Linked DNA regions of Ovis aries. The protein of the gene in region 6 interacts with the protein of the main gene of each other region in a biochemical or structural test. Links are inferred from orthologs where the notes say so. Each region holds a gene or a part of one and is shown on either strand. Other genes may lie near its edges. The genes, in order: DNMT1, MCM7, USP4, CASP3, MRPS18B, RB1 and CCNE1.

Region 1 (3,712 bases), on a different chromosome or scaffold from region 6:
TGGCCTCTGCGTGCGCCCGTCTGCCCCTGCCCAGGATGGCTGCCCCCGCCTCTGGCCTCTGCGTGCGCCCGTCTGCCCCTGCCCAGGCATGGCTGCCCCCGCCTCTGGCCTCTGCGTGCGCCCGTCTGCCCCTGCCCAGGCATGGCTGCCCCCGCCTCTGGCCTCTGCGTGCGCCCCTCTGCCCCTGCCCAGGGATGGCTGCCCCCGCCTCTGGCCTCTGCGTGCGCCCCTCTGCCCCTGCCCAGGGATGGCTGCCCCCGCCTCTGGCCTCTGCGTGCGCCCGTCTGCCCCTGCCCAGGGATGGCTGCCCCCGCCTCTGGCCTCTGCGTGCGCCCGTCTGCCCCTGCCCAGGGATGGCTGCCCCCGCCTCTGGCCTCTGCGTGCGCCCGCCTGCCCCCGCCTGCCCCCGACCTGGGCGCACCTGCAGCACGCCGAAGGTGCACTGGTAGCCCATGCGGACCAGGCAGCGCAGCGTCAGCTTCAGGACCATGGAGCGCTTGAAGGAGACGAAGTTTCGAACGTTCTCCAAGAGGAAGTAGCGGGGCCGGTAGTAGTCACAGTAGCTGTGGGGGACAGGAGTGACCGAGAGAGTCAGCCCCACGCCTGGAGAGAGCAAGGCGGCCTCCTTGGCCAGAAGTCACTCCCAACTGCTTTGACGCTTGTCAAGACAAACCTGCCGGCTCTCAGGGTCTCTCCCTAGTGGAGAGGGAGCCGTGAACTCCCTGAAGGCTGAGAGTGGTGCCTCGCTCAGCAGCGGCCTTCTGTAGGAGCGAAGGCTAAAGCGGTGACTGCTTGGCCCTGGCACCAGGCATTGCAGCACAAGGGCAGGCCATCTAGTTGCCCTTGGATGGCACTGAACGCAGAGGGGCTTTAGCTCTGTTTACCTGAGGAAGGAGACCACCAGGGAGTTCTTGAACTTCGAGTAGGTTCGAGAGTTGAAGCGGTTCATGCCACTGAAGCCCTGGCAGGGCGGCCCACCACACAGCATCTCCACGTCTCCCTTCTGAGGCAGCTTCTGGCCGCGGGAGTTGGTCACCTCCCCAGCCATGACCAGCTTCAGCAGGACGTTGCAGTCCTCTGTGAACACCGTGGACCCAGGGTTGTTGAGCCGGAACGCCTGGGCCGCAGGGTCCCACATCTCGATGGCCCAAAGTGTCTCCGAGATGCCTAGGTGGGGGATACAAGGACACAGACGTGTCATGAACTCCTCAGAAAGAGACTCTCTAGTCCGAACTGTGGCCAGGGCCACAGAGGTCTTCCAGACACAGCCTGCCTGATCCAGTTTTTAACAGGTTGTGTGGAGAGACCCGCCCCCGGAGCGTACCTGCTTGGTGGAAGCCTTCTGACAGTCCCCCACAGCCGGAAAACACGTCCAGGGTCCGCAGCTTTGGCAGTTTGATTTCTGTCTCCAGTTCACTCGGCTCACACGTCTGAGATTTCGTCCTGTTTTTTCCTGCAGGAGATGGACCCCAAGTCAGAGCAGGGTCCTGATGGGCCCTCCTCAAAGCCCCTGGTGACTCAGAGTCCACCTCGTTTTGAGGAGGTAACATCAGAGGTTGCTCTTCCATACTGATTGACTCATGAGTATCCGAGCTAGAGGACACAGACTTGAAGAGGAACCTGGGGGAATGGCACACCACGACATACCTTTCCCCTTCCCCTTCCCTTTATTTCCATGGCTCCGGGCGTGGTTCGGAGGATCTTCAAAGCTTTTGCTCTTGGCGTTATAGGCCTGAGGGGGAAAGAACCACAGCGGTCTGGAAGAGAAACATCAGTTCCCTTCTCTAACAAATAGGATTTAAGTTAATTTGATAAGAATATACTTCATTTCTTCCTAAGTATGGCCAGAAGCCAAGAGGGCTTTGATTCTAATAGAGAAAAGGGGAAAAGTCTATTAATAAAAATGTTTTACCTGCCTGACAGAAATTCCTGCTATTTTAAGTACCTGGACTACTCATTCTGAAAATAGGCACCAGAACCTGGGGGAGACACGGGTTATCTTAAGACCATACATGCCTGTCACAAAGAAGCTGTGCTCAAACAATTTTAAAGTGATTAGCTTAAATCAACAGACTCCTGGCTCTTCTCTCTCTCAATAACCAGGCCACAAGCTCAGCTATGAGGCTGAAGGGACTGGGGGCAGGGATTCATCTCCTGGGCCTAGAGGTCCATTTTCCTAACTCATAGACACTGGCCAGACCAGCAGAGGCCACCTAACAGTCTACAAAAATTGTTATTTGTGTGTGTGTGTGTGTGTTAGTCGCTCAGTTGTGTCCAGCTCTTTGCAATGCCATGGACTGTAGCTCGCCAGACTTCTCTGTCTATGGAATTCTCCAGGCAGGAATACTGCAGTGGGTTGCCATTCCCTTCTTCAGGGACTCTTCCCAACCTACGGTTTGAACCCAGGTTTTCCACATTCCAGGTGAATTCTTTACCGTCTGAACCACCAGGGAGGTCTGAGTTATTGCATGAGGATGTTAAAATATTTCATTTTGCTTTAAGTGTTAAATTCCAGATCAACGTGAGTGTCACAGACTCATGCTCTGGGTAAGTAAACTTCTCGGGCGCTGTGTCTGACCCAGAGGCCCTCCCTGCAGTGAGCCCAGGGCCCCACCTCGAGAAAGTAGAAGCGATCGGGGCCACCAGCAGAGAAGTCCTGGAGGCACTCAGGCAGGTCCTCTCCGTACTCCACAGTGCAGCGGCCCTGCACGGCCTTGAAGTCCACCACGGCCTCCTCATCGCTCCAGTAGAGCAGGTTGATGTCTGCATGGTAACTGGCTGGGGTAGACTTGTGTGTGTTCTCCGGCCTGGGAGTGCAAGAGTCTTTGTTAGTTCATTTGTCGCAAGCTGAAAATGAATTAAACGGCATATTCCTGGGGATGTGCTCATAGGATCAGAGGGTAAAGACTAGGCCCCATGCCTCACTAAGTCACCTTGATTACTAACCCCCTTAGTCGGCACTAAACACCACAAACTAAGTGGGATTTCTTACTGTGATCTCAACTAAGGGTTTGCTTGCTCTTTATGCCTCCAAGAAGACTGGGTGGGCCTGGGTTGAGACCAGGTGCCGACCTCCTATTGAGAAGCATGTCTAGAGCTGCCTTCCTCCCCCTATGCCTGCCAGATTCCTTGTTCTCTTAGTACCTGTTACTTCAAAGACTTCAGAAAAACTTTCCTGTATGTTAGCTAAGAAGTGGAGCAACTGTAGACTTATCTGTATGGATCAGCTTCAGTTTAAGCTCCTAAGTACTATCAGGATCCCCAAAACTCAGTGAAGCCAAGACCTTGGGACAGAGAGAAACCCCAGAAACGGAGAAGAAGGCCTGGAAAGGACAGGAGGACTGGCAGTAGGGAGGGGCGGAACACAAGGGCAACTTAAACAGATATCAGGGTTTTGATGGCGCCTCAGACAGAGCCCAGGATATGCCATGCCTGCCTTGGTCGCACTCTGGACCTCGCTCACTGATCTCTTTTGGACAAAGCTCTGCAGCTCTAAGACAGGAATCCAGGGCTGTGTTACACAGTTGTAGTGATCCTCAGCACCCACCAGGTAGTCAGGAACACCTGGGAGGACTACCTCCTCCACCCCTTAGACCACCACTGTGTGTGCGATTCACTACCTCCCATGACTCAGGCAGAGGCCCCTGGAGGGCAGAGCCCTCACCAACCTGTAGAACTTGTTGACCCTGATCTTGATGTCTGTCTCATTGGG
Region 2 (4,259 bases), on a different chromosome or scaffold from region 6:
CGGTGGGGGAAGGGGTGAAAACGAATACTGTATCTTCAGGGAAGCGGGGACAGGGAGGAACCTCACCAGCACTTCATCCAGGAGTTCGTAGACCAGAGCCACGTTGCGAGAGATGGTCGCCTCCCCTAGGGAGCCACAGTAATCACCCAGAAGAGTGGCCAGCCTGCGAAAACCCAGACAGAGGGTGCATAACTCCTCCTCTCTGACTCCCTGACCCCTGCACCCGGGTGCCCAGCCCTGCCCTCCTCACCGGGAGAGCAGCTCCAGGAGGCTGAAGGGAGAAATGTTTTCTGAAGTAGTGGCCACCAAATAGAGACCGCTGTGTCTGATGTGAATAAAGTGACGATCATCGTGGTGCTGAGGCATAGGCACGGAGAAAAACGTTAGGAAGAAAGCTGCAGTGATTCCTGGCCATGAGACTGAGGCTGGTATCCTGATTTCCCTACTTACTAGCAGCGTGACTTTAGGCCACATACGAAACCTCCCCAAGGCCCAGCTTCCTAATGTGTAAATGAAGTTAGTAATAGTACCTACTCCAAAGTGGCTGAGGATTGAAACGTGTGAAGAGCTGCGCCTGGTGCAGTTAGCGATCAGTAAACCGCCATTAATATTATTTAGAAGAATGTACCCCCTTCCACACCGCGTATGAGCTCTTAGAGAACGTTCCTGGAGGAGGCGCCTCCCAACCCCAGACCACCAACCGCATACCCACCACCCCACCCCCACTCCCGCCAGTGGTTACCATGACAACCGGAGACTCGTCTCCAGGCAGTCCCGTCAGCTTCCGGTAGAAGAGCTCGGCCACATCCCGGCCGCCGCTGTCTCCGCGGACTGACCGAGTGGAAGGAAAGCTAAGGAGCTGGCGACACTCGCTGGCACTGGGGCTCTAGTCCCACGCAGCCCTTCTCCCCCCGCCCCGCTGGCCAAGGATACAGTCCTTGTAGATGAGCGGGTCCCCCTTGGAGGACAGAATGAAGAACTGGGAAATCATGGCCGTTCTGGAGAATAGACTAGGAGACAGCAAACGTTGGGCCTGCCCCGCCCTGCGGCCCCGGAACAAAAGGACGCGAGTAGCCTGGCCCTTTAAGAGCGATTCTCCTCCGACCGCGGGAAACCCGGCGCGCGCCCCGCCTCGCCCAGGCCTTCCCTCCAAACACCCGCGCCTCTTCCCCGTCACTCAGCCCAGGTTCGCCCGTTGATTGGCCCAGGCTGGGGCCCGCGGCCAGCGGGAGGGACGAAGGGCATCCTCTCCGATTGGCCCGCAAGCGGCGGCGCTGGTCACGTGGGGGGCGACGTTTCGCGCCAATTTCGGTTGGTCGGCCGCAGTCCGCCGCGCGGGCGTTTTTTTGCTGGCCGGGGAGTGAGAGCTCAGAGCCCGCCAATTGCTGCCTTTCGGTCCTCGGCAGCAATGGCACTTAAGGACTACGTGCTCGAGAAAGGTGAGAGTCTGCGAGTGTAGGAGGGGCGTTCTGCGCGGGAAGCTTCCTGGGCGACACCTGTTGGTGTGGGCTGGAGTCCCGGGGGGCCGGGCTCTCGGCGCGCGAGGCCGGAGGCAGGGTAGGGAGGTGGCGGAGTAGAGGCGCATGGTGCCTGAGGTGCGCACGGGCCGCCGAGGCCGGGGGAGAGCTGGTGATCGTGTCGAGGAAAAGAGTGAGAGTCATGGGGAGGGGATGCGGACACCCGAGCTGGAAGCTCCAGAGGGAAGGGTCGCGTCTAGGAAAGAGCAGGCCCTCAGGGGCCTATCTAACCAGCACCCCCCGGTCCCGCTTTTCTCCGCGCGCTTAGGCACTCCCAGCGCCCACGACGCGCCGAAGCCCGGGGTAGGGTGGGGCGGGCGGTCCCGGGCCGCTGCGCGCGGGGATTGGGCCGCATTAGGTCCACCTCCTAGCGGAAGTGGAGGCGGGCGGAAGTTGCGCGACGCTGTTGGAGGGAGTGTCGTGTGTAAACAGTGTCCTTCCGCGCGGTGGCCTCGGAGAGAGCGACCGAGGGTGGGGGCGTGCCTGGAATTGGAGGGGTTTCTGCGGAGGCCGAGGGATGAAGTGGTCGGGTGGGGCAGGGTGGCCCTCGACGAGCCGGCCAATCGCCGGACGGGCTCCCTCCTCGGGCGGAGGAATCCCGGGCTGTGAGGCGGCGGCATCTGGGCCCATGTGCTTCTTTGTTTACTAAGAGCGGAAGCAGTGGCGGGAGAGGGGGTGGGGCGGAGGAAGGGCCTGGTGGCGGAGATCCCCGGGAGAGCAACAATTTAAGGGACCGAAAGAAAGGGGGAATAAAGCACGTAAAAGGAAAGCTGAGAACCGTGAGACTTGAGTGTGTTGCCGTGTGTGGAAGGCCCTTAGAAAAGGGTACTGAGATTTCTAATTAAGGCAGAGAGTGGAATTCCCCTGGGGGGAGCGTATTGGGTAATACTCTAAACTGCTAGGGGCCACTTATTCTTCCTTAAGTCAACACAGACTTGGGAAAAGGAGTTTTGCTCTGTTGGGGAGAATTACGTAGGTCTATTTGAATGTTCATTTAATTTGTTTAAAGATTTCACTTTAAACAAAAGTAAGTTTTTTAGATCTCTATCAAGGGTTTGCAGTAAGGTATATGAAAAAAAGTCCGTCCTGACTTTATTTTTCTTTACAGAAAAAGTGAAGAAGTTCCTACAAGAGTTTTACCAGGATGACGAATCTGGCAAGAAGCAGTTCAAGTATGGGAACCAGTTGGTGAGTCTAAGGTTAGGTAGAGGGAAGGGGTGGTGACGAGCTATAAGGCCTGGCTTGTTTTAGCAGGTATGTCTTTCTGGAAGTGGTGAGTTTAGCACCATACCTGATACTTGTGTATCACTGTGCTGCGTCTGTGCTCAGTCTAATTCTTGGCGACCCTATGACTAGCCTACGAGGCTTTTCTGTCCATGGAATTTTCCAGGCAAGAATACTGGAGCAGGTTGCCATATCCTTCCCCAGGGAATCTTCCCGACCCAGGGATTAAAGCCATGTCTCTTGTGTCTCCTGCGCTGGTGGGCGAATTCTTGGCCACTGTGCCACCTGGGAGAAAGCAAAGTGAGACTCGACAGGACTCAGTTTCAGCTTCCTCAATCCCTGAAAACACCTTGATTATTGCAAACGTAGTGATACACACCTTTCTCCCTTGTGGAGCCTGGATCCTGTGTGCTGAGCTCGTAATGACCAATTTTTGCTTGTGAACACTGGTAAGATAAACTTGGCTCCGCTGCTTTCTCTTCCCCACCCCAGGTTCAACTGGCTCATCGGGAGCAAGTGGCCATGTACGTAGACCTAGATGACATTGCTGAGGATGACCCTGAGCTGGTGGACTCAATTTGTGAGAACACCAAGCGCTATGCCAGGCTCTTTGCTGATGCTGTTCAAGAGCTGCTGCCTCAATACAAGGAGAGGGAGGTGAGAAAAATGCAGGGCACACAACTTGGGTTTGTGTTGAGAAACTTCCTGGGTACTGATGCTCTCCGAGCTGACCCAAAGGAGTCAGTGGTTTCTGCCTGGCACTCTTACGTTCTTTCCTTTCACCATTCTGCCGCTCACTTTTCCTGTTTTCCTTTCTTTTCCTTTAGGTAGTAAATAAAGACGTCCTGGATGTTTACATTGAGCACCGGCTAATGATGGAGCAGCGGAGCCGCGACCCGGGGGCAGCCCGAAGCCCTCAAAACCAGTACCCTCCTGAGCTCATGCGCAGATTGTGAGTGACCACGGTAGGGACGGGCATGGGGTTCAGGTCCCCAGACCCTTGCTAATGACCACTTTCTCCATTAGTGAGCTGTATTTTCAAGGCCCCAGCAGTAACAAGCCTCGTGTGATCCGGGAAGTACGGGCTGACTCTGTGGGGAAGCTAGTAACAGTGCGTGGAATTGTCACTCGTGTCTCTGAGGTCAAACCAAGAATGGTGGTGGCCACTTACACTTGCGACCAGTGCGGGGCGGAAACCTACCAGCCGGTATGTGTGGAGCAGAGAACGGGAACACACTTAATTCTGTGAGAATGAGTTTCGCCTCCTGGTGTTTATCTGGTGCCTTTTCTGTTTCCTGTGTGGTCACTTTTCGGTTTCTCTCTACGGTGGAGTGGTCTTTCCACCCAGTCTGTTCTCTTTGTGTCTGTTGATGTGTACCTTGCACGGCTTAAGACAGTCCCAAAGGTTTCATCGTCTCTGCCGGAGGAGGGGCGTGGCTCCTGTGACTGAGGGCTCCTTCCTCGTGACTTTCTCTGGTGCTTCCCTTTCCACTCTAGATCCAATCTCCTACCTTCATG
Region 3 (3,712 bases), on a different chromosome or scaffold from region 6:
TGACCGTGCAGTCTCAGAGCCCATCTTAATGCCAAAGTGCAAGTAAGGGAATACTTCATTACAACGTTAACTCACTCTCCCCAAAATAGGAAAAAGGAAAGACACATATCAACCTACTTTGAACATGCGAGGTGCCACGTGAGCATCCCTGCCGGACCACATCTGCTTAATGAGCTCTGCGTAGGCCTCTGCGATTTCCCCTTTCATTCCCAGGGGGTTGTCCCTGTTGATTTCGGCTTCGTATTCATCTTTGAGAAAGTAGTCGGTCAACGGTGCTGTGTTGCTTAAGCACTGAAAGAGAAATGATCACAGCTCACACGCCTTCTGGAAAGCACACAGACACACAGGAAAAACCCAGTTCTAAATGAACAGTGAAGGTCACTCCAACAAAATGAAGGTCACTCCCTTCAGATTCTCGGGAGGGCTCACAACAGGAAGGCACAGTCTCTCAAAGGCCAGGGCTGGTGGCCACATAGTGGTGAACCTTCCAGGAACACTGTCTTGAGATAAGCTCACCGCCTAAGAACCGATTCCAACACAAGCTGAGGGCAGAGGCCGCTGATCCCAAGTGCCTGATCACAGTTTATTCCTTCACTCTGTCAGTGTATTTACAGACATGCTTAATTTTTCAGCTGTTTAAAACAGTCTGGTTTTCCTAGCACAACCCCCCCCCACCCCCGCTTGTTATGTGTTACTTTTACTTGGACCTCACTGATTTTGATCTGCTAAAATTTTATCTACAGTACTTGCCTCTATAGTTGTGAGATAGTAACCTGTATCCTTTTCCCATAATACACTGTAACTGTAAGGAGAATTACTTTCAAGTGAAGTCTATGAGTTTGAGCAAACTAACAAACTGAGGGTCATCTGTAGGGACCCCCAAACTTGCAATGGTGTCAGAAATGAAGGCAGTTATTAGGGACTGTGCCCTCTTAACTTTGTAGCTGGACTTTAACTCCAGCCCATGATCTCAACAATCCCATTACACAGTATGCGCCCAATAAATATTTGGTGGATGAATAAATAAAGTTTCAATAGGCAAGAGCTGAGTGAGACAGCTCACTGGTGAAGATGGTCAGCCTCAGGCAAGAATACAGTGGCACGGTACCAGCTGCTCTGAGATCTCATCCCATTAGAGACCAACCAGGCATGTATTCCAGTACTTTTTGAGATCATTCTCTAAGGGTCAACAAAACTCAAAATGTTTTCATTATAAAACCAAACCAAACTGAGAAGACATTTTGAAGCCAGGAACACTGATGAGGCCATTCTGTACCACCCAGTGGCTATGCACTGGCAGAGATTCCTGAAGCACTAACCACGGGTTGTTAGGGACCCTGGAGAGGATCCTCCCGACACAGCAGAGGCCACTCCCACCCCAGCCTCAAGTACCGTGGAGACACGATGTTAACTGAGATGGCAGCTCTCCCCCCTACCTGCAAAGCAGAGTTCATGAAGCAGGTGTTCCCCAGGTTTCCAAGTCCGCAGAGCCCAGGTTGGACGTGAGTCAATGGGGACTCCTGACAATTATACGAAGCAGAGAAGCCAGATCCACTGGAAAACACAACCCACACCAGCAATCAAGTGAGTGCTGCTCACATGCCCTCAAGATGCGTCTTGGGGCTTCACCTGGGCCTCTAGAATTCTCACTTGATAATGACCCCATGATACAAATTCTCTTTACTCCCCTCCCCAGCCCTCCAGCTCCCTCAACCCCGCCTTGACCTGACACGGTAATAGGTGGTAAGCACATCCTTAAGGGGAAAAGAAGAGAGGCTGTTTGAATCCTCTGCTCTCTAGCTTTGTTATGGAGAAAGAAATGGCAATCCACTCCAGTACTCTTGCTTTGGAAATCCCATGGACAGAGGCGCTTAGTGGGCTACAGTCCACGGGGTCGCAAAGGCTTTGGCAAATGCTAATTCTATATCCTTCCAGAGGGCTAACTGCCAGGTGACTTTGGGGAAGAGCACTGTGGTTACCAGGATGGAAGCCTGCACCTGCCACCACCCACCCGGCTACGCTTGCTCTTGGCAGTGCCTGAGTGTGCGTGCACTCTCTCACCTCACCTTCCTCTACCACTCTATCTGCGCTCTATGGCAGGTGCTCTGACACACCTGGAAGAAGGATCCCAGCCACACAGAGGAGAAGCAGGCAGTCCATGCCCCACCCCCGCCGCAGCTGACAGTCACCCCGATAGCCATTCTGCCAAAAGGCCAGCCTATCCCTTCACAGACAAATGCAGTGATGGGAAAACACCAGCTGGTAGGAAGACAAGCAACGTACTGGGAGGCACTCTTTACTGGGGGGATGAAATGGAAGGAGAAGCCACGTGCAGCGGGCTCTCATGGGGAACCCGAGTCCTGCATGTGCTCAGGGCAGCAGCAGAGGAGCTGTCAGGGAGGGCCCAGGAGAGGACTCGGCGGGAAAGGAAGCAAAATGAAAGAACCTGCTCTTACCCCCTGCTGACACTGGAGCTGTGCATCCCCGAGGTGTTAGTGCTATCACCATTTGCAATGGGAGAGGCAGATACTGAGGAATAGGGACTTGCTGATGATTTTGGAGAGGTAGTAAAATTTCTGCTAGGCGCAGTGCTTGATCTGGGAGAGAGAAGACAAACAATGCTACTGACTTTGTGCACAGAAGCAAGCCCTCTTTAAGGCTTGCTTGAGAAGAAGGTGTCTTCTCAAGAAACACATGTTCTCCATATTCAGTTATTTAAAATTAATTGCAAACAGCCCGTTTTCACGCTACTTCAACTTAAATTTTTATTGGCATGAGAGTAAAGAAATTAATTGGTCTTCCTGTCTCATTCATCCACATGGTCCTACACTGAATCTTCCAGTGAGATAACCCAACCACAAGGCTGACCTTCAGGGCATCCTGGTTTGATTGATAAATCATCAGCTTCCCTGAATTTTAAGACTTACCAGTGAAAGAAAAAGAAAAATGGTGATGAGATGAATTATCTCAAAACACTAGACCCGAATTAAACAGATGGCTCTAAGTATACCAGAACATGAAAATGGCAACTTAGTATCACTATGCTATTCCAGGCAACTGCTTTTGTTTCCTGAAATTTACCAAAGTGAAAATGTTTCCTGTTTCAAACTTTTGTTTCAGTATTTTTCAGTGTCTTATTTTAAGATTCATTCCTAATTTTGGACTAATTAACTCAAGTGCTAATTGCCCCAAATCTTAAATTGACAACAATTTTATCAAGTTTTCTACCAAAATCCACTTAAGACAGGTAGAAGGAAATGAGTTATCCGCAATGTTGCAATGTTTCCATGTTTCAAATACATACAATGGTGATTTTCCTTCCAGATTGGGAGTTATTTTTAGAATAGAGAAAATAATTAAGTGTTGTCCCTGCAGAGTGCCCAGCCTCATGGGATCCGATGTCAACCAGGGCTCCCTGTGAGAAGAAAGTAGGGTGTGGCAATAAAGATGAGCGAGCCTGTACCCACACTGTAGGGAGATGTCAGGGACTATTTAGGGGCCTCAGTGGGTGTCAGAAACTGAGTTCTGCTTCACACTCTGAAGTCACAGCAAGGGAGAGGGAAAGAGGGCTCCCCAGGCTCTCAACCACCCACAGAAATGTACCTTCTCTAATCCTGAAGAGCATTTGCTTCACTGAGCCTCATCTTCATGCTGCAGAGAAGTCCAACAACTATGGCAGCTCCTTAAGTGAGGCTTGGCAGAGCCAAGGGAC
Region 4 (3,430 bases), on a different chromosome or scaffold from region 6:
ATTGCAGGCTAACTGCACCACTGAGTGAGAATTCTACTTCCTGGGCTTCCCTTCCAATAGGGAAGAACAGGTTTATAGGCAGAAAATGCAAAAGCAAAGAAATAAAAAAGGATCATTATAAGTAGCATGGTGTTGCAGTGAGATGATTGGCTTATCCAACAACCTGCTTATGTACGCACATACATTTGAGGGTCTTAAATTTGTCTACAGGGAAAGAATGGAGTATAATAAACACATTATAGCATATTCAAAAGTCCAAAAAGGGGAAATAGTGTATTTATCGTTATTTTCCCAGATAAACTAGTGGATTCATTGCTGTGTTTTTGGCCACGTTGAGTGGCTTGGGGGACCTAATTCCTGGACCTGGGAATGGAACCCGGGCCCACAGTAGTGAAAGCACCAAGTCTTAACCACTGGATTACCGGGAAGTCCCTGGATCCACTGCTTTTAATCTGAACTGGAAAGATGCCTGGAGGTTAAAATAAATCATATCAACTATATTTAAAAATGTTATACTGTTTAAAAATACACTTGCCCTGTATTTCCAAACACACCCTGAGTTAGTTGTATGAGTAAACAAGTCCATGATCAATATATATTAATTTATATGATGACAAGCGCTCACACACATAACGTGTAATACAACCAGAGACAAAGCGCAGGTTGATAACCTAGCCATAAATCATTTTTAACCTTATTTTCTCTTGTTCCACTTCTACCCACTGATATGCTATTCATGTTTATCCTTTCAGTTTCCTAGCTCCCAAAGAATTCCTGGAAAACACACCTCTCTCCTATTTTAGGAAGTGGGCGAAGCTCTGACTTGGCCTGTATTATAATATGGATTCCAGGTGGTGTCAAGTTCATGAATGACACTGTGCAAATGTGCTTTCTTACACAGGCACATTTTCTAGCCAAACTGGGCTAAAGACAACTTTTTGAGACTTCTCCGTGGTTAGGGCACCCTAAAACAAGACACAGTGGCTTTTTATGGATATCAAAATCCCTATAGCCTTTGGAACACACTCTTCAGTGTTTAAAATCTACCTATTTCAGTATCTGTAAGTTTCTTACCAGGTGCTGTAGAATATGCATACAAGAAGTCTGCCTCAACTGGTATTTTCTGACAGGCCATGTCGTCCTCAGAACCACTGTCTGTCTCAATACCACAGTCCAGTTCTGTGCCTCGGCAGGCCTAGAGGTTAGAAAATAAACACCTATTTAAAAATTAGAAAAAAAAAGAAAAGAAACATTTATTGGAAAAAAATGTGTGTACATGCATAAATGTGTAACTTATCCCTAAGAAATGCAAAGGCTCTATAAAAACTGATGTTAATTATTAAGAATCATTTTGCTAGAAGTCTAAAAATTAAAGTTTATGCTATGTCTCCTAAGCAGTGGTTTAAATAAATAAAAAAGTAGCAATAGTTTAGTAGCTTCAAGGAAAAAAAAAATTAAAAATCCTTTGGATAATCCACAATGGAGTAAATTAATCCCTAAAGAAGCCTCAATAACCAAATCGCTCAGTTATCTATTACCTGAATAATGAAAAGTTTGGGTTTTCCAGTCAGACTTCTGCAACAGTCCCCTCTGAAGAAACTTGCTAATTTTTTCAGATCGACGGGTCCATTGGTTCCAAAAATGATTCCTTCTTCACCATGGCTTAGAAGCACGCAAATAAAACTGCTCCTTTTGCTATGGTCTTCCTTAGAAACTGGAAAAACATTTATAGGCAAAAAAAACCAATGCAATTTTATTCAACAATTTCATATGTACTGTATGGGAGTAAGATGAAGAAATCTGAGAACTGAACTAAGAGATCGTGTAAGCCCAGCTTGGGGCAGAGCAGCAGAGCAACACACCTCAGACTACTCTAGGGAGTCGGTATGAATAACTCGGACTTACATAAAATGTACAGAGTAGGGCTGTGTACTCTTTAGTTTCACAATTCTCATGCTTTACTTTCATGTAGGTTATAGCTAGATTGTACATACATTGGAAATGAAGGTCATTCTTTTCATTATTTCTTACCGTCGCTCATTAATTCCAACATTTCTTTACGTGTAAGATCGTTTTTAATCCTGACTTCGTATTTCAAGCTCGTGAAGGTTTCCCTGAGGTTTGCTGCATCCACGTCTGTACCGGACCGACAGGCCATGCCTTGAACAGAAAGCTACTTTTAATTGCATGAAAAAAAAAGATAAACTGCTTTGAAATGAACTATTCAGGGATCCACACAATCCACAAGAAACTCTTCCTTTCAAATGCTAAGGAAATTCAATATTCTGACAGTGGTGACACTAAGTCGCTTTCATTTCTTCGTATACAAGACACTTCATGATATAATCTGTTATCTGTGTTCTCTGTTACAGTCACAAAGATGTTTTTCACAGCTGCTTAGATAGTGATAAACAAATGACTTAAATGCCTAAAAAGAGAGGTTTGGTTAAATAAATTACAATTCATTTATAATATGGGATATTATGTTGCCACTGAAATTTTGTAGACAAAATTTTGCCATAGGAAAATGGTCACTATTATTAAAAGAAAAAAAAAAGAGTAGAAAATAAAAGGATCCTACTTTTAAGAAAAAATTATACACACACACATAAACATACACAAACACATACACATCACCATACACAGACGTATATATCAACACACACCTCACACACTCAGAGCAACTATTTCTTTGATTCTAAGTTTTCAACAATTCTAAGATACATCAGTAGTTTCATCGTATCTTTTTGGGGGAAACAAAAAAAACCCCATAAACCACTAGGCCACATTAACACTGTTCAAAAGCGTCTAAGCCTTCCGACGACCATGAAACCATGATCATGACCGGCTTCATCTGCAGAGATGTGGGACCCACAGCAAGAAGAGTCCAGCAGAACTCGAACAAGGCTCTGCAGCTGCTGTGTGGCCTGTACCCCGTAGTCCTGGACTTTCTTCATCCCTTAGAGCACCTTCCACATGCATGTATGGACTGACTGAACAATGCCCTCAGATTTAAAAATCTAAAGTATTAGGCATAGCAGGGGGAAGGCACTCAGATAAACTTAACATATATGGAGGAGGCAATGGCACCCCACTCCAGTACTCTTGCCTGGAAAATCCCATGGGTGGAGGAGCCTGGTAGGCTGCAGCCCATGGGGTTGCTAAGAGTCTGACACGACTGAGCGACTTCACTTTCACTTTTCACTTTCATGCATTGGAGAAGGAAATGGCAACCCACTCCAGTGTTCTTGCCTGGAGAGTCCCATTGACAGCAGAGCCTGGTGGGCTGCTGTCTATGGGGTTGCAAAGAGTCGGACACTACTGAAGTGACTTAGCAGCAGCAACAGCAACACATATGAAAAAAAAACCCAAACAACTAGATGTTTCCAGCTCCAAATTATTGTTGATTGTCTCTGAGTGGTGTGATTAC
Region 5 (4,183 bases), on a different chromosome or scaffold from region 6:
GCCTGGAACCAATCAGATACTTGCCTCTGCTGACTGACATATGAATGCCCTCCAACTTCCCTGATGACCAGCCAGTTTCTGCTCTACCATCTTCTAATACTGCAAATGCAGAAGGGCACATTTCCACTGTCATCTTTATAGTTTCTGAATCCTTCAAGAAACAAGTCCTCTCCTCCTCAAAATGAAGGTTGTTTTTTTTTTTAATAACTAGATTAGACACTGTTTCGTGTATCTGCCCTCCCAGCCCAAGTCTTAACATGCAATCAAACATCAATGACAACAAAATAAAGAAAATCTCAGGAAAAAACTAGTCCAATCTATCTGGAAGTAACTGATTGATACAAATGAAACTTTGGGCATTTCCCTCTCATTAGAAATGAGCATTTCTCTTGCCGATTTAGACTGTAAACTTCATAAGTAAGAGATGAATCTTTTATATATAACCCACAGTAGAAGGCAAAAGTCTGGAAGGAGGGACTTCTCTGGTGGTCCAGTGGTTAAGAATCTACCTTCCGAAGAAGGGGACTAGGGTTTAATCTAAGATACCACATGCCTCGGGGCAACTAAGTCCATTTGTCTCCAGTAGAGAGACGCCCTCGCCACAGTGAAGAGCCCGTGTGCTGCCGCTAAGACCCAACACAGCCATCAGTAAGTAAATACTAAAAGCTGAAAAGAGTAACGTTTTCACATTGCCAGAAAGTCAATGCAAAATGGATTGTAGGGGCCCAGGATATGAAGAATGGGGCACCTAAGGTAATCTCTTTTAGTACTGCAAAGAGGCTTTAAGTTTTTATACTGAAGACAAGATTCTCCTTACCCTAAAGTCGACATGCAGCTTCTGATCCCGGCAGATGGGGCAGGGGTTCCCAGCAACTTTATTTCCACGCTGTAGAGAAAAGTAACAGGCAGGTGAAGACGTTCAAAGCCCTGTCAGAGAACGTACTGCTGCCTCTGTCACTATGGCCTTCAGCCCCACTCCACATCCCATCCATGTGCCATCCTCAGAAACTCACGATACACATCTTTCGAGTCCGCTGTGGGGGTATTCCACCTTTGTGGTTTCGACGGTAGTCAGCCCAGACAGGGCGAGAACCATAGCGGTTGTGGTATTCTGAAATGAAAAGACCATACAAGCTACTCCTGGGTGATGGTGGTGAGCTGTCTCTGTCCACTTATTTCAGACCTCACTTGACGCGCCTCTTGTCCATTTAGAGGTACCTTCTAGGGACTTCCCTGGTGGTCTAGGCAAGTGGTTAAGATCATGCGTTCCCAATGCAGGGGGCCTGGGTTGGATTGCTGGTCAGGGAACTAGATCCCACATGCTGCAGCCACGACCTGGCACAGCCAAATAAGTAATAAATATTAAAAAAATAAACAAGTACCTTCCGAGTCCAGGTATTTCCAGGGTTCATCCTCATAAGGGGAAACAGGAATTGGGGGCAGAGAATCATCCTCAGGGGGGGCTTTGGTGCAAAGAGTCTGGAGGGGAACCTATAAAAGAAGGGGCAGAGAGAAAATGAGACAAGAGTTCAAGGACACAACATGATTGGTTTATTAAACTTACACCGTCAGCAACAGAGGGGAACCTATTAAAGGAGGGGCAGAGCAGAAATGGTTGGATGGCATCACCAACTCAATGGATATAGGTTTGAGCAAGCTCCAGGAGACAGTGAAGGAGAGCGAAGCGAAGCCTGGTGTGCTACAGTCCATGGTGTCGCAGAGTCAGACACAACTGAACGACTGAACAACAGAGGGAAAACGAGACACTGAGTTCAAGCACAAGAACTGACTGGTTTATTAAATCTACACCATCAACAACCGGTATCCCTGCCTCCAGCTGGATCTTGCAAAAAAAGGTAACATTAGAAGATAACTAGGATAGGTGACTGGGAAGCAAATGTATTTGAAAATACAACTCAAAAACCTGGCACACATAAGGTTTCTGTGCTTCCTGAGATGAACTCAGGGTAATGGAGAAAAAAGGGAGAATGTCTATCTTCTTGGAGTCAAGATGTGTGCTACGAAAAGGATGTAAAGGACAGGTGAGTCTCCCAACTCAACTGAATCCTGAATCACTGAGTTGCCCGGTCTTATAAAAAGTTGATGGTCAACATTCCATATGGCAGAACAAACGTGAGTCCTAACGCTATGTCCCAAGCTACCAAGTCTATAATTAACTCTGTGGTAGCCCCTCTCATCACTCTTCAGTCTCACTTTAGGGAGTGGCAGATGGGCAAGCCCTCCAATATCACGCTGCCCCATCAAGAATCTCCAGGGTGGTGAGTACGTGTGACTGAGGGGAAACCTCCATCCAAAGTAGTTATGCTCCCATGTATGCTTTAGGAAGAAACTGATTTAGTGAGATAAAGAGCCGAGAAACTGGTCCCCTGGTCGTGAGAATGTATTCTGGCTTTATTGAGCGATAGCCGGGCTGGTAGTAGTTAGTGTCCCTCAAAACCCAATGACACCCTTGGGCATCAAAGATTTAGACACCACCATACAGTTAACAGTTGGTTTGTGTTTGGCCAAGGGGTCCACATTCCATCGCCTAAATATCCGGCCGAGATGGAAAGCTGGGAAGAGAATGACATCCAACCCTGGCTCTTTACCCTTGTCTCAAGATTAGAAAACGCGCTGTGCTGAGGAATGAGAGGGGAAGGGGGAGGATGGGGGAAGCAGAGCGTTTCCTTGACAGCCAATGTACAAGCACTTGGGAAGCTCTCCGCTCCAGGATCCCTGGCAGTGGAGCGACGACCTAGAGAAAGTACAACCAAATCTGAGGTTGTACAAAATGTGCCCCAAGGAGTTACCTGAACTCCGTAGGCACCTCTGAAGGGCGAAATGTTAGGAAGGCGCCTCAGCAACACGTTCAATATGGAGGCAGCCATCTTGACGTACCCGCAAAGCAGGCACGTCCGCAAACGAGACTGCGCATGTTCCAGGAACCAGAGTAGGGTGGGGCCAAGGACGACCCCGCAGTGCGGAAGGCGGACGCGCGTCTGCGTCAGGACGGAAGCGTGAGGGGCGGGCGTAGGGAGAGGGCAATTTCAACTGCGTCACAATCGAATTCGGCCTTAAAATTGCGTTTTTGCTGAACCAGTCACTATGACTTTTCACTCTCATTCTTAGAGTCTGTGTTTTAAGCAATTTTGAAGTCGCTTTTGACCCTGATCCTTTCATTGCGCATGCGCCGGGCCGATTCTACCAACCCTTGTTGAGAAATGTTCTCGAGGGCGGAAGTGGTGGAAGCAGAGGAAAGGGAGGTACTAGGCTGCTTGGTCACGCGCACGCGTTAGGGCCCCCACCCCCAACCAAGGAAGGAGGCGGAAGAAGGTGCCCGGGGGAAGGGGCTGAGCGAAGGTTAAGGCCGGATATCCAATCAGCTGGTGAGTGGTTTCCCTGGTTGACCAATGAATTCACGCCTCGCGCAAATTGTCTCGCGAAGGGGGCGTTTCACTAGCACGTTTGGGCGCGTTGGGCGGTGTCCTCGTATAAAAGACTCCGCCCGAGCGGGCAGCCGCCATTCTGGGGTTCGTTTAGAGGTAAGTGTTGCCATTTTGTCGGTTGGTGGGTAAAATTTTGCTCGGAGAGTTGGCCTGGGGAACGGGTCAAACGCGGGCTCAGTTGAGAGCCATGATTCGTATTAAGCGGCTGTATTCGGGGTGGGACATGGAAGTGTTTGGGGACAACAAAAATGGTACTTTTGGGTGTTTTAATAGCAGCCCGTACTGATTACATCTTTCTCCCTTGTGTTCCTTTTATCCCAGGTTTGAATTTTCTCGGAGAAAGACAGGCCGGCCACCAGGAGAAAAGAAACAAGCCGCAGCACAGCAACATCTAAGCCCTTGAAAGGATCCAGAGAGAGGGGGGAAAGGGAAAAGAGCAGCCACCAGCCCAACCACTTGTGTCTTCTGCCCCTTCCCACCTATCTTGCCCACCCCACCAGCCCACGCTGCCTGGGACTTGAAATCTGTGGCCGAAGGACCGTCACCACATAACTTCAAAAATAATCAACCACCCACCCTTCCCAAACTCACCCAAGTCCACTCATCCAGCGTTTACTTTTTTTTAATCCACTCAGAACTTTTTTTCTACGACCCCCCTCCCTAAATGGAGTTGGGTGGGGGGGAAATGAATACTGAGTTGGCCTTTATTTTTTCTAAAGAGATTTTTTGATCCAATG
Region 6 (4,442 bases):
AGCAAAGTAGCTTAAAGTAAGTACAAGAGCTAAAACTGGGAAAGTTGGGTTGGTTAACAGCAAGAGGAAAGCAATAGATAATATTACAAAACCAATTCAATATCATTAACTTTTGCTAAAATGCAGTCTACCCTTCACAGTGTTTTATTTAATCTACTTACTAGTAGTTCTTAGATGATGATTAAATTCAAGCTTTCTTTCTGATTTTCCTTAACCAAGACAGGCAGACAAAAAACTCTTCTTGGCTAATTCTTTTTCAATCAGTTAATGTCTACTTGACCTCTAATAATAATAGTACAAGGAATCGCTAATAATTTTTTAGTATTTATTATGATCCCAGACAAAGTACCTTAGATGAAGGTAGACTGAATCCCCACATCAGCCTATTAGGTAAGTCCTCTTACCCTGTTTTACAGATAAATACCAAATCAGAGAAGTTAAAGCACTCACTTGAAATCACAAACAGTATGTCAGAAACCCTGATAGAAACCCAATAATCTAACTCTATAATCCTTGCCCTTGAGCACTATTCCAGACTGCCAACCCTTCTCTGAAACATAATTAACTTTTGGTTATCTCAAGAATGAAGATGGTGTGCTGTTTCCCTTAAGTAAACTCTCAACTCTCAAAGTAGGCATGGGCTCCATCACTGGAAATGCAATTGGACTGGGCCCTGAACCCACCCCAGGTAAAGTTCTCAGCTTCAGACTGCCAGGCAGTGGTTCTATCTTTGTTAAGTAGTTAACCAGTAGTTTGATAGCCCATAAGGACACATTTTATGGGTAAGGATAGATCAAGAACAGACTTTATCTTGCATGGTTCTGACTTAAAGAATTTGTGATAGTTTCATCATTTAAAGTATATAAAATGAAATGCTGGAAAATAGAAGGAAAAAAGACTTTCTTTTCCCAGGTGCTGGCCAGAACTTCAGTATTTCTGGTTACTCCACAATATTCAAGAATGCTTCCGAGCTCTGTGGATAACACAGGGTTCTTTGCAGTAGACTTCACTGCTCTTACCAAAAGGAAACTGGAAAATACTGGACATATCAGAGTTTAATCAGAAACTAATGTCTTCTCCTAGAACATCCCTGGGCTTTCTTTTTTTTTCCCACTAGTGAGAATGATTTTTAATTGATAAGACAGTCATATATGAATTTCTAATAGCCTTTCACAAGCCATTTCCAAAAGCTTTTCCCAATCTTTAACAATTTGTCCCGAATTCTCTTAGCGCAGGGGAAGGTGAGAGAAATAGGGCCTGCTGATGGGCTAGGACTGTGGGAGGGAGACAGAAAGGAGTCCCATTTCCCTGTAATTGATGTGCAGTCTCAAAGCAGGGCCAACTCTGACAATAATAATGGATAATTATACTCGTTCAATTTTTGGTTCTAACCATAAAGCATCACAATCAAGAAAAATAAGATGTTGCAATACATTATCTTCCTGTCAAAGTTCCACTGCATTATCGTAGACTTGCTTAAAATTTAGAATCCACTTACGAGAAGAAAAATAATTCCACGTGAGCACAAAAACACTCGTTTTGTACTCCAACAAACGAAACAAAACAAAACAAAACAAAAAAAAACAAGGACACCAGGATCCTTGCTGGCTCAAAGCCGAAAGGCAAAATGGAAGAAATAACGAGGCACGCTGAAGCCAACGAAAATACGCAAGAAGAGTTCTAGAAAACAAGAGAAAAGTTCAGGAACTTTTAAGCTCTTGGGCTAAACGTCTCACAATATTTTTGCCCAGGTACGAGTTCTTTCTAAAGAGTTACGTTCCACCAGTCACTACCTATGGCCATGAATCCCCAAGACCGAAAAGCCCCTTCTAAGAGAACGCCACAAGGCGCCTCAGCCGAGCTTCCTGGGGGGTAACCGACACCCAGGACCCTGCCCTTCACGTCCGCGGGCATCTCTGCCGCTGCACCCAAGGCTTTTCTGACTGTCTCTCCCAGGACTGGGCTTCAGATACAGCTGCGCGCCCGGGGGCGGTGGGGGGAGGGGGGCACTTCCAACTGTTGCATCGCTAGAGACCAAAAGAGAAAGTCAAAAGACCACTGGAGGACTACAAATCTCAACGGGGAAAAAAACCTATCCAGCAAACACCAGTTAGTTCTTTTCTTTTTTTCCTCTTTTGCGTGTGATGGGGTCTCGAAACACCCGCCGGATGCGCAGGGCCGTCTCGCGGAGCAAAGGCGGCACCTGTCACTTCGCTCAGCGACCCGAGCCCCACCCGCCCGACACCTGTCAAGCTGGAGCCGAGACCCCCCTCCCGGCCGCCCTTCCCAGGCGGCGCCCGCACCCAGACCCCTGTCAGCTCCCTCCCGGCGCTCCGCCGCGAGGGGTGGTAGAGGGGGGACCGTCCTCCCGCCGGGACCGGCGCCCCGCGGGGACGCGCCCCCGCCTAGACGCCGCGGCTGCCGCCGACGCAGCCTCGGGGCGCCCTCCCCGCTCGCCGCCCGCCGCCGGTGGCTCGGCCCGCTCACCTGGCCAGAGGCAGGTCCTCGGAGCCGCTGTCCTGCTCGGGGTCCTCCTCAGGGGGCGGCGGCGGCGGCGGGGGCTCCGCGGCGGCGGCGGCGGCGGCGGCTGCTCTCCGGGGGGTTTTGGGCGGCATGACGCGCTCGCAGGGCAGGCGCCGGCGGGTGCTGGAGTGGGGCCGGAGAAGGGAGAGGACGCGCGCACCTCGGGCACGCCCCGTCCTCGGCCGACTCCCGTTACAAAAATAATTTGAACGTTCCCCTGAGAAAAAAACCGGGCCGGCCCTCCCCCGCCCGGCAACCGAGCGCCGCGTCCAACCGCGGGAAAACGTCACTTCCGCCCGCGGCGTCACGTCCGCGAGGCTCGCGGGCCCGCCGGCGTCGGGAGGGCACCGGGGTGCTGGGCGAGGCGAGGCGAGGCGCGCGCCGGGCGGGCGGGCAGCCCCGGGCCTGCAACCCAGGCGCCCGCCCGGAGGCAGCGGCCGCCGCCGCCGCCTCAGCCTGCCTCGCCTCGAAACTCGCCCCTGCGGGCGTGGGTGGCCGGGTAAGGGCGCTACCCGGCCCGGTGGGTGCGCGCGGGCTCCCTCGCTATAGCCGGGTGGGTCCGGGGCTGCGGCCGAGGCCCCCGCCGGGGAGTATCGGGCGAGCGCACCCGGGGCGGGCACGCCCCTCTCCTCCGTGGGCGGCGCCCTCCCGCTCGCCCGCGCTCCTCCCGCCCAATCCGTTAAGCGAAGTCAGCCAAAACAAAAACAAACTGCCTCTGGGACACCTATGAGGAGCTGGGTTTTGCCCACTACCAGCGGAGACCAAGTACGGGACGACGAAACTGGCCTTTTGAGAGTTCTTTGAGGGAAGAGGGGTGGGGGCTGCGGGCAAAGAACTGATGACAAGGTGCTGCGCGGTTTTAATAGTAGCGTAAAACCAGGAAGCACCATCGAAACGCCTTAAGGACATCTTCAGAGGAGCAGGGGCATTTGAGTAGAAGTTTGCCAGACGGACTTCACATCTAAGGAGGACTTACTATGTGCACAGGGGATTGTTCTGGCCATTTTATCTCATTATCTTACCGAATCCTCAGAAACAGCCCTTTAAAATGAGTTGTAGTCGTATTACACTTTGGATAGGGAAGACAGGCTCAGAGGAGTTAATTCATTTGCCCAGTACTCCAGTATTCTGGCCTGGAGAATTCCATGGACTGACAGGCTATAGTCCATGGGGTCGCAAAGAATCAGATACGACTGAGTTACTTACACACACACACACACACACACAAACACACACAGCCGATGGGTGGTAGAGGTTTTGAACTGAGATATATGTGACTCTACTTATCCATTAGTGAAGTGAAGTCGCTCAGTCGTGTCCGACTCTTTGCAACCCCATGGACTGTAGCCTACCAGGCTCCTCTGTCCATGGGATTTTCCAGGCAATAGTACTGGAGTGGATTGCCATTTCCTTTTCCAGAGGATCTTCCCAACCCAGGGATCGAACCCAGGGCTCCCGCGTTGTAGACAGACGCTTTACCGTCTGAGCCAATACGTTGTGTTAAAGAAAACACCAAGAAGAGAGAAATAGCATGTGCAAGGCACAAAGACACCAGAAAAGAGTTTGCAGGAATTACTATGGCCAAACATTGACTTAGAAACTGTGTCTCCTGTCTCTTGGTATTTACTTATGCTAATAGATTGCCTAGTTTGAGTATCTGCTTTTGTATCACTGGCAGATGCTGTGGGTTGCCCGCTAGGAGCTTCCCAACTGAGGTGCTATGAATAAAATACAGCTGTGTTCTGACGTGAATTCCCTCATCCTTGGAACAGCTGAGCAGGGCTGAGGCAGCCAATGCCTTCAGGCAAGTGGTAGCTCTTGGGTTTATCCCTGTGGGCCATACAATGGATTATCATTTTCTGTGTATATTATGGTGTATTCCAGAATGTGAAAAGGGGTTAGCCATTATTGGCCTACTC
Region 7 (4,161 bases), on a different chromosome or scaffold from region 6:
TCCAAGCATTCCTTCACAAGTAAGATTGAAGTGCCTCCCTTCCTCCAGGCACTATGCCAAGAGCTGGGGGATACAGCAGTGAACAAGACAGACAAGGCAGGGAGAAGAGAACCAAACACGGACAAGAAACATATGGCAGCAAGTGCTGTGCAGGAGCCACAGCAGGGCAATGTGGTGGAGAGGAACTCCTGGGGAAGACCTGGAAATTCTCAGGAAAGATGTAGCTGGAAGGAGCCGGAGCTAGGGACAACAAAATCCAAGGTCCCGAGATAAGAAAGGACAGAGGATGGCCAGAGGAGCTCTGATGGGAGGCAGTTGAAGGAAAGGTCTGAGAGGGGGTGAGGGTAGGTCCACGTGGAGTTCTGTAGGGCATGGAGTGTGGCTTTGATGCTTAAGGTAAAGAGGGCCGCATGGAATCCCAGCATCAAAGAGGTCTTCCGATGCTCAGGGGAAAATCTATGGCGAAAGGCACACATGGAAGGTAAAGGTGCTAGAGTATTAGCTGAATGAGCATGGACAGATGGATGGACGCACGTCCAGGAGTAACAGCTGTTCCACAGGCGGCCCCGATCTGGCGGCCTGAAGCCCTGGTTCTAGGCTCTGTGACCATGCGCTGTGACCTTGGGCACATCCCACCCTGACTCAGGGCCCGGAAACCTGCGTCTCGGGGGCGGAGGAGACGTGCAAGGAGAGACAGTGCGCGCGCGCTGCAGGCCTACGGACGTCAGGTCTAGTGGCCCGACCCCTCAGTCGGGGACCGAAGCCTCGCCGCCCGCCGTGTTTACATTCCACCAGCGCCGGCCACGCGGCTTTTTGCCGCTCCAGCGCCGCTCGGCTCCGCCCCCAGAGCCCCGCGACCCGCCCCTCCGCCGCACTCCCGCCAGACCTCCCCCGCGTCCCGGCCTGCGCAGCCCCGCCCCACCGCGCGCGCCGGCCGGCCCCCGCGTCCCGCCCCGCGCGGGCTCCGCAGCTTGGGCGGTGCAGGCCCCGCCACGGCCCCAGGGCCCCTCCCCTCCGGCGCGCAGGCCCTGTCACTTAGCCCCGCCCCGCGCTGGCCCCGCCCCGGGCGGGCCGGAGCGCCTGGGCGGGCCTGCGCCGCGCAGGGCGGTCCTGAGGGCGGTGGCTGGGCGGGGCCGAGCCCTCTGGCTGCCGCTGAGGGGCTCCGAGCCGGCCGGGGCGGAGCGGAGGGTGGCGGGAGGGCGCGGGGGCGGTCCGGGGGCCGGTTCCGCGCGCTGGGATTTTTAAATGTCCCGCTCTTAGCCGGGCGCAGGAGCAGCCGGCCCGGCCGCCAGCGCGGTGTAGGGGGCAGGCGCGGATCCCGCCACCGCCGCGCGCTCGGCCCGCCGCCGTCTCCCGCCTCCTGGCTTCCCGCTCGCCTCTGCCTCCTGCCTCCAGCCTCGGCTCGTGCCGCCTGCCTGCCTGCCTGCCTGCCGCGGAGACGGCTTCGGGTGAGGACCCTGCCTCGGGCTGCCGGACTGCGCGGCGGGCGAGAACTCCTGGAGCGCCCGGGTCGGGTCGGGCCGGGCCCGGGTGGGGGTGGGGCGAGGCCGGGTCGCCGGGTCCCCGGAGGCGTCAGCGCGGGGTGCCCCGGTAGGGCGACTCAGAAGCGGGCTCCGGGGAGGTGTTGAGGGGAAGACTGAGGCAGCTGGGGGTCCCCAGGGAGGCAATGGGCCGGCGAGAGTTTCAGGGGGCGTTGAGGCCCCCCCACCCACCCTGGGTTCCGACCCGGCGTCGCGGGCCGCTGGTGGCGCCGCGGGTGACAGGCCACCCCGGGCCCATCGGCCATTTTCCCGACCGGCCCGGGAGGCTCCCGCCGCCGCCGCCCGCGCGGGAGGGGGAGGGGTGCTCGGGACGGGCCGGCGGGCCCTGGACCCCTCTGCTGCCGTCCTCACCCCACTGCCGTTTCGTGCCCCCAGGCTTGAGGTCTGATCCTGCGCCCAACGCCATGCCGAGGGAAAAGGAGAGGTGAGTGGCCTGGCCGTTGCGGGAAAGGGGAAGGTGTGCGGTGGTGGGGGAGGGGTGGGCCGAGATTTGGGTAGAACTCTTACCTCTGTGCCATCCTGGTTTTGCAGGGATGCGAAGGAACCGGATACCATGAAAGAGGAAAGTGGCACCGATGTCTCTGTTCGCTCCAGGAAAAGAAAGGCAAATGTAGCCGTTGTGAGTACAAAGGAGACAGGTGGGGGAGGATGCCCCCCCCCCAATCTTAACTGGGTACCAGAATGGGTTCTACCCATGTATTTGTTGATAAGGGATCAAGAGTGGGGAGCTTTTGGCAGAAATGGTGATCATAACCTTACTAGCTTTCTTTTTCTTCTCTGTGTCTGTGTTTTTGTCTTTGGGCTGTTTGGTGTGTTTCCTTGGGGTATGGGGGTTGTTTTATGTTAGTTTTTGCAGGATCCAGATGAAGAAATTGCCAAAATTGACAAGACTGTGAGAAGCCAGTGTGGCAGTCAGGTAGGTACATTTTCTGATTGGGTCGAAGTTGAGGCTCCCCTTGTTTGGGGTCACATTGAGTCTCATACTTGCTTGCCTCCTGCTGAAGGCTTTTTCTCCAACTATGGCCACAGTTCATATAACTGAGCACTGTGCCTGTCAGTGGGCACTGACCTCTGCCAGTCTTGGGATTCCAGGAAGGACTGTGTTCCTGACTGACATCCCTGAGATTACAAATATGCGCTGATGTCTGGAAGAACCAGAATGAACCTCACATAACTCAGTCCTCTCCTTTTGCCCTTGAGGAAACTGAGATTCAGTTAGAGGAGGAAAGTAACCCAGAGTCCTGTGCAAGCCAGGGGCGGAGTCTGTCCTATAGCCTAGGCTGTAGGCTAGTGAACTGTGGGAGGGCTCCTGACACACAGCTCTCTTCGGGTAACTGTGATGATGGGGGTTTGTGTGTGTTCATAAGCAACTTCTCCCCATCCACACTTGTGTTTATTTCCTCATGGTGCTTAAGGACTTCCCTTTCCTGCTCCCACCCCCTTCAGGTCATGTTTCAAACTTTTTCCCCCTTTTTGATGGTTCTTCTAGCCTCTTCAGCAATTACGTACAGTGATAACTGCTGCCTGGAGTTTGATCTGACCTCCACCAGAGTATTAGTAAGACATTCTGTGTAATGATACGTGCATCTCAACACATTTTTAAAACTGACTAGTCAGTCCATTTCTCTTGCCCCTCCTTCGTGGAGTTCCCGCCATATTTCTTGCATGTTCACGGTACCATCATAATATCAGAAGTCCCTAGCCCAAAAAGCTTGTATTATCTCTCTGCCTCCAGAAATGGCTGGAGACTGTAGTTATGGCCCCAGTAGGGGAAGCAGTCTATCTCCAAACTAACTGATTAGGCTTTCTGACACTGTAACAGATAAAAACTGAGCAGGAATAGTATTTGAGCCAAGGAAAGTGGTTCTGATGAGGTTAGCAGTGGCAGCACATCACTTTGTAGGACAGTGAGCAACGGCCATAGCGGCTGGGTCTGGAAGAGTGAAGGTCTTCAAAGCTGTGGGACACATGGTAAAGCTGTTATTGCACACAAGACCCTAGTAATTACCATTTCTGGGGAGATTCTACTTAATATTGAACAACAGCTTGATGGTTTACTTGCTGTATTAGAAGAAGAGATACTTTGTTTTAGGAAAAGAAATAAGACAGTGCATTTCAAATTCTTTCTTTTTTTTTCTTTTATTCTCCCTGTAAAGACTTCAAACCAAGAAAGTTAATTTTTGTGGGTCTCTACTAAAATGAATCTCAGCTTTGTGAAATTCAAGATTGGTTGTCTTCCTAGCTATGTTTTGAATTGGAATTTTTAACTGAGGCTGAAGCAAAGCTGTCCTTGTTGACTTCTTGGGGTTTTAGAGTAGTTTCAGTTCCAGAGATAACTGGAGCGGAGCCTGGAGTGCCTAAGACAGGGCTTTGGCCCTGTCCCTGGACTGCAGAGAGCTGATAGATGTGATATGTGAATAGCCATATTACTTCCCACTAGAAGGCATTTTCATGGTTCAGAGATTAATGACAACAGGTTTCTACACATTGTCTAAAGTAGATAGCTTGAAATTACCCATCATTTATGAAGCAGTCAGTGTCATATGTTATTTCTCTGTAGATTCATGAAGCTAGAACTGTGGGGTAACAACCTTTTTGCCAATTAATTACACAGAATTTT

Evidence for each region.
Region 1: the proteins of RB1 (region 6) and DNMT1 form a complex in vitro, tested with the Homo sapiens proteins (2 studies listed by BioGRID). The link is inferred for Ovis aries from reciprocal best matches to the Homo sapiens genes RB1 and DNMT1.
Region 2: the proteins of RB1 (region 6) and MCM7 form a complex in vitro, tested with the Homo sapiens proteins (2 studies listed by BioGRID). The link is inferred for Ovis aries from reciprocal best matches to the Homo sapiens genes RB1 and MCM7.
Region 3: the proteins of RB1 (region 6) and USP4 form a complex in vitro, tested with the Homo sapiens proteins (2 studies listed by BioGRID). The link is inferred for Ovis aries from reciprocal best matches to the Homo sapiens genes RB1 and USP4.
Region 4: of the proteins of RB1 (region 6) and CASP3, one has a biochemical effect on the other in vitro, tested with the Homo sapiens proteins (2 studies listed by BioGRID). The link is inferred for Ovis aries from reciprocal best matches to the Homo sapiens genes RB1 and CASP3.
Region 5: the proteins of RB1 (region 6) and MRPS18B form a complex in vitro, tested with the Homo sapiens proteins (2 studies listed by BioGRID and IntAct). The link is inferred for Ovis aries from reciprocal best matches to the Homo sapiens genes RB1 and MRPS18B.
Region 7: of the proteins of RB1 (region 6) and CCNE1, one has a biochemical effect on the other in vitro, tested with the Homo sapiens proteins (9 studies listed by BioGRID). The link is inferred for Ovis aries from reciprocal best matches to the Homo sapiens genes RB1 and CCNE1.

What each region holds. Positions count from the first base shown.
Region 1 is NC_056058.1:12,547,660-12,551,371, forward strand, and holds part of DNMT1 (DNA (cytosine-5)-methyltransferase 1), read right to left. Parts: coding exon 3,669-3,712; intron 2,808-3,668; coding exon 2,615-2,807; intron 1,733-2,614; coding exon 1,648-1,732; intron 1,454-1,647; coding exon 1,325-1,453; intron 1,168-1,324; coding exon 885-1,167; intron 564-884; coding exon 422-563; intron 1-421. UniProt on the Homo sapiens protein: Methylates CpG residues. Preferentially methylates hemimethylated DNA. Associates with DNA replication sites in S phase maintaining the methylation pattern in the newly synthesized strand, that is essential for epigenetic inheritance.
Region 2 is NC_056077.1:36,785,488-36,789,746, forward strand, and holds the start of MCM7 (DNA replication licensing factor MCM7), read left to right. Parts: upstream 1-1,310; 5' UTR 1,311-1,408; coding exon 1,409-1,439; intron 1,440-1,905; exon of another isoform or gene 1,906-2,342; intron 2,343-2,585; exon of another isoform or gene 2,586-2,625; coding exon 2,626-2,705; exon of another isoform or gene 2,706-3,026; intron 3,027-3,120; exon of another isoform or gene 3,121-3,233; coding exon 3,234-3,398; exon of another isoform or gene 3,399-3,568; coding exon 3,569-3,693; exon of another isoform or gene 3,694-3,767; coding exon 3,768-3,948; exon of another isoform or gene 3,949-4,238; coding exon 4,239-4,259. Other genes in the region: AP4M1 (AP-4 complex subunit mu-1), read right to left, coding at 67-163, 251-357, 743-831, 934-991. UniProt on the Homo sapiens protein: Acts as a component of the MCM2-7 complex (MCM complex) which is the replicative helicase essential for 'once per cell cycle' DNA replication initiation and elongation in eukaryotic cells.
Region 3 is NC_056072.1:50,827,563-50,831,274, reverse strand, and holds part of USP4 (ubiquitin carboxyl-terminal hydrolase 4), read right to left. Parts: intron 2,598-3,712; coding exon 2,457-2,597; intron 1,555-2,456; coding exon 1,437-1,554; intron 292-1,436; coding exon 118-291; intron 1-117.
Region 4 is NC_056079.1:14,236,102-14,239,531, forward strand, and holds part of CASP3 (caspase-3), read right to left. Parts: intron 2,161-3,430; coding exon 2,032-2,160; intron 1,715-2,031; coding exon 1,539-1,714; intron 1,196-1,538; coding exon 1,075-1,195; intron 1-1,074. UniProt on the Homo sapiens protein: Thiol protease that acts as a major effector caspase involved in the execution phase of apoptosis. Following cleavage and activation by initiator caspases (CASP8, CASP9 and/or CASP10), mediates execution of apoptosis by catalyzing cleavage of many proteins.
Region 5 is NC_056073.1:27,485,912-27,490,094, forward strand, and holds the start of MRPS18B (small ribosomal subunit protein mS40), read right to left. Parts: upstream 2,912-4,183; 5' UTR 2,889-2,911; coding exon 2,811-2,888; intron 1,492-2,810; coding exon 1,383-1,491; intron 1,112-1,382; coding exon 1,014-1,111; intron 887-1,013; coding exon 818-886; intron 1-817.
Region 6 is NC_056063.1:18,457,725-18,462,166, reverse strand, and holds the start of RB1 (retinoblastoma-associated protein), read right to left. Parts: upstream 2,818-4,442; 5' UTR 2,616-2,817; coding exon 2,488-2,615; intron 1-2,487. UniProt on the Homo sapiens protein: Tumor suppressor that is a key regulator of the G1/S transition of the cell cycle. The hypophosphorylated form binds transcription regulators of the E2F family, preventing transcription of E2F-responsive genes.
Region 7 is NC_056067.1:39,911,028-39,915,188, forward strand, and holds the start of CCNE1 (G1/S-specific cyclin-E1), read left to right. Parts: upstream 1-1,243; 5' UTR 1,244-1,448; intron 1,449-1,916; 5' UTR 1,917-1,945; coding exon 1,946-1,965; intron 1,966-2,072; coding exon 2,073-2,160; intron 2,161-2,388; coding exon 2,389-2,457; intron 2,458-4,161. UniProt on the Homo sapiens protein: Essential for the control of the cell cycle at the G1/S (start) transition.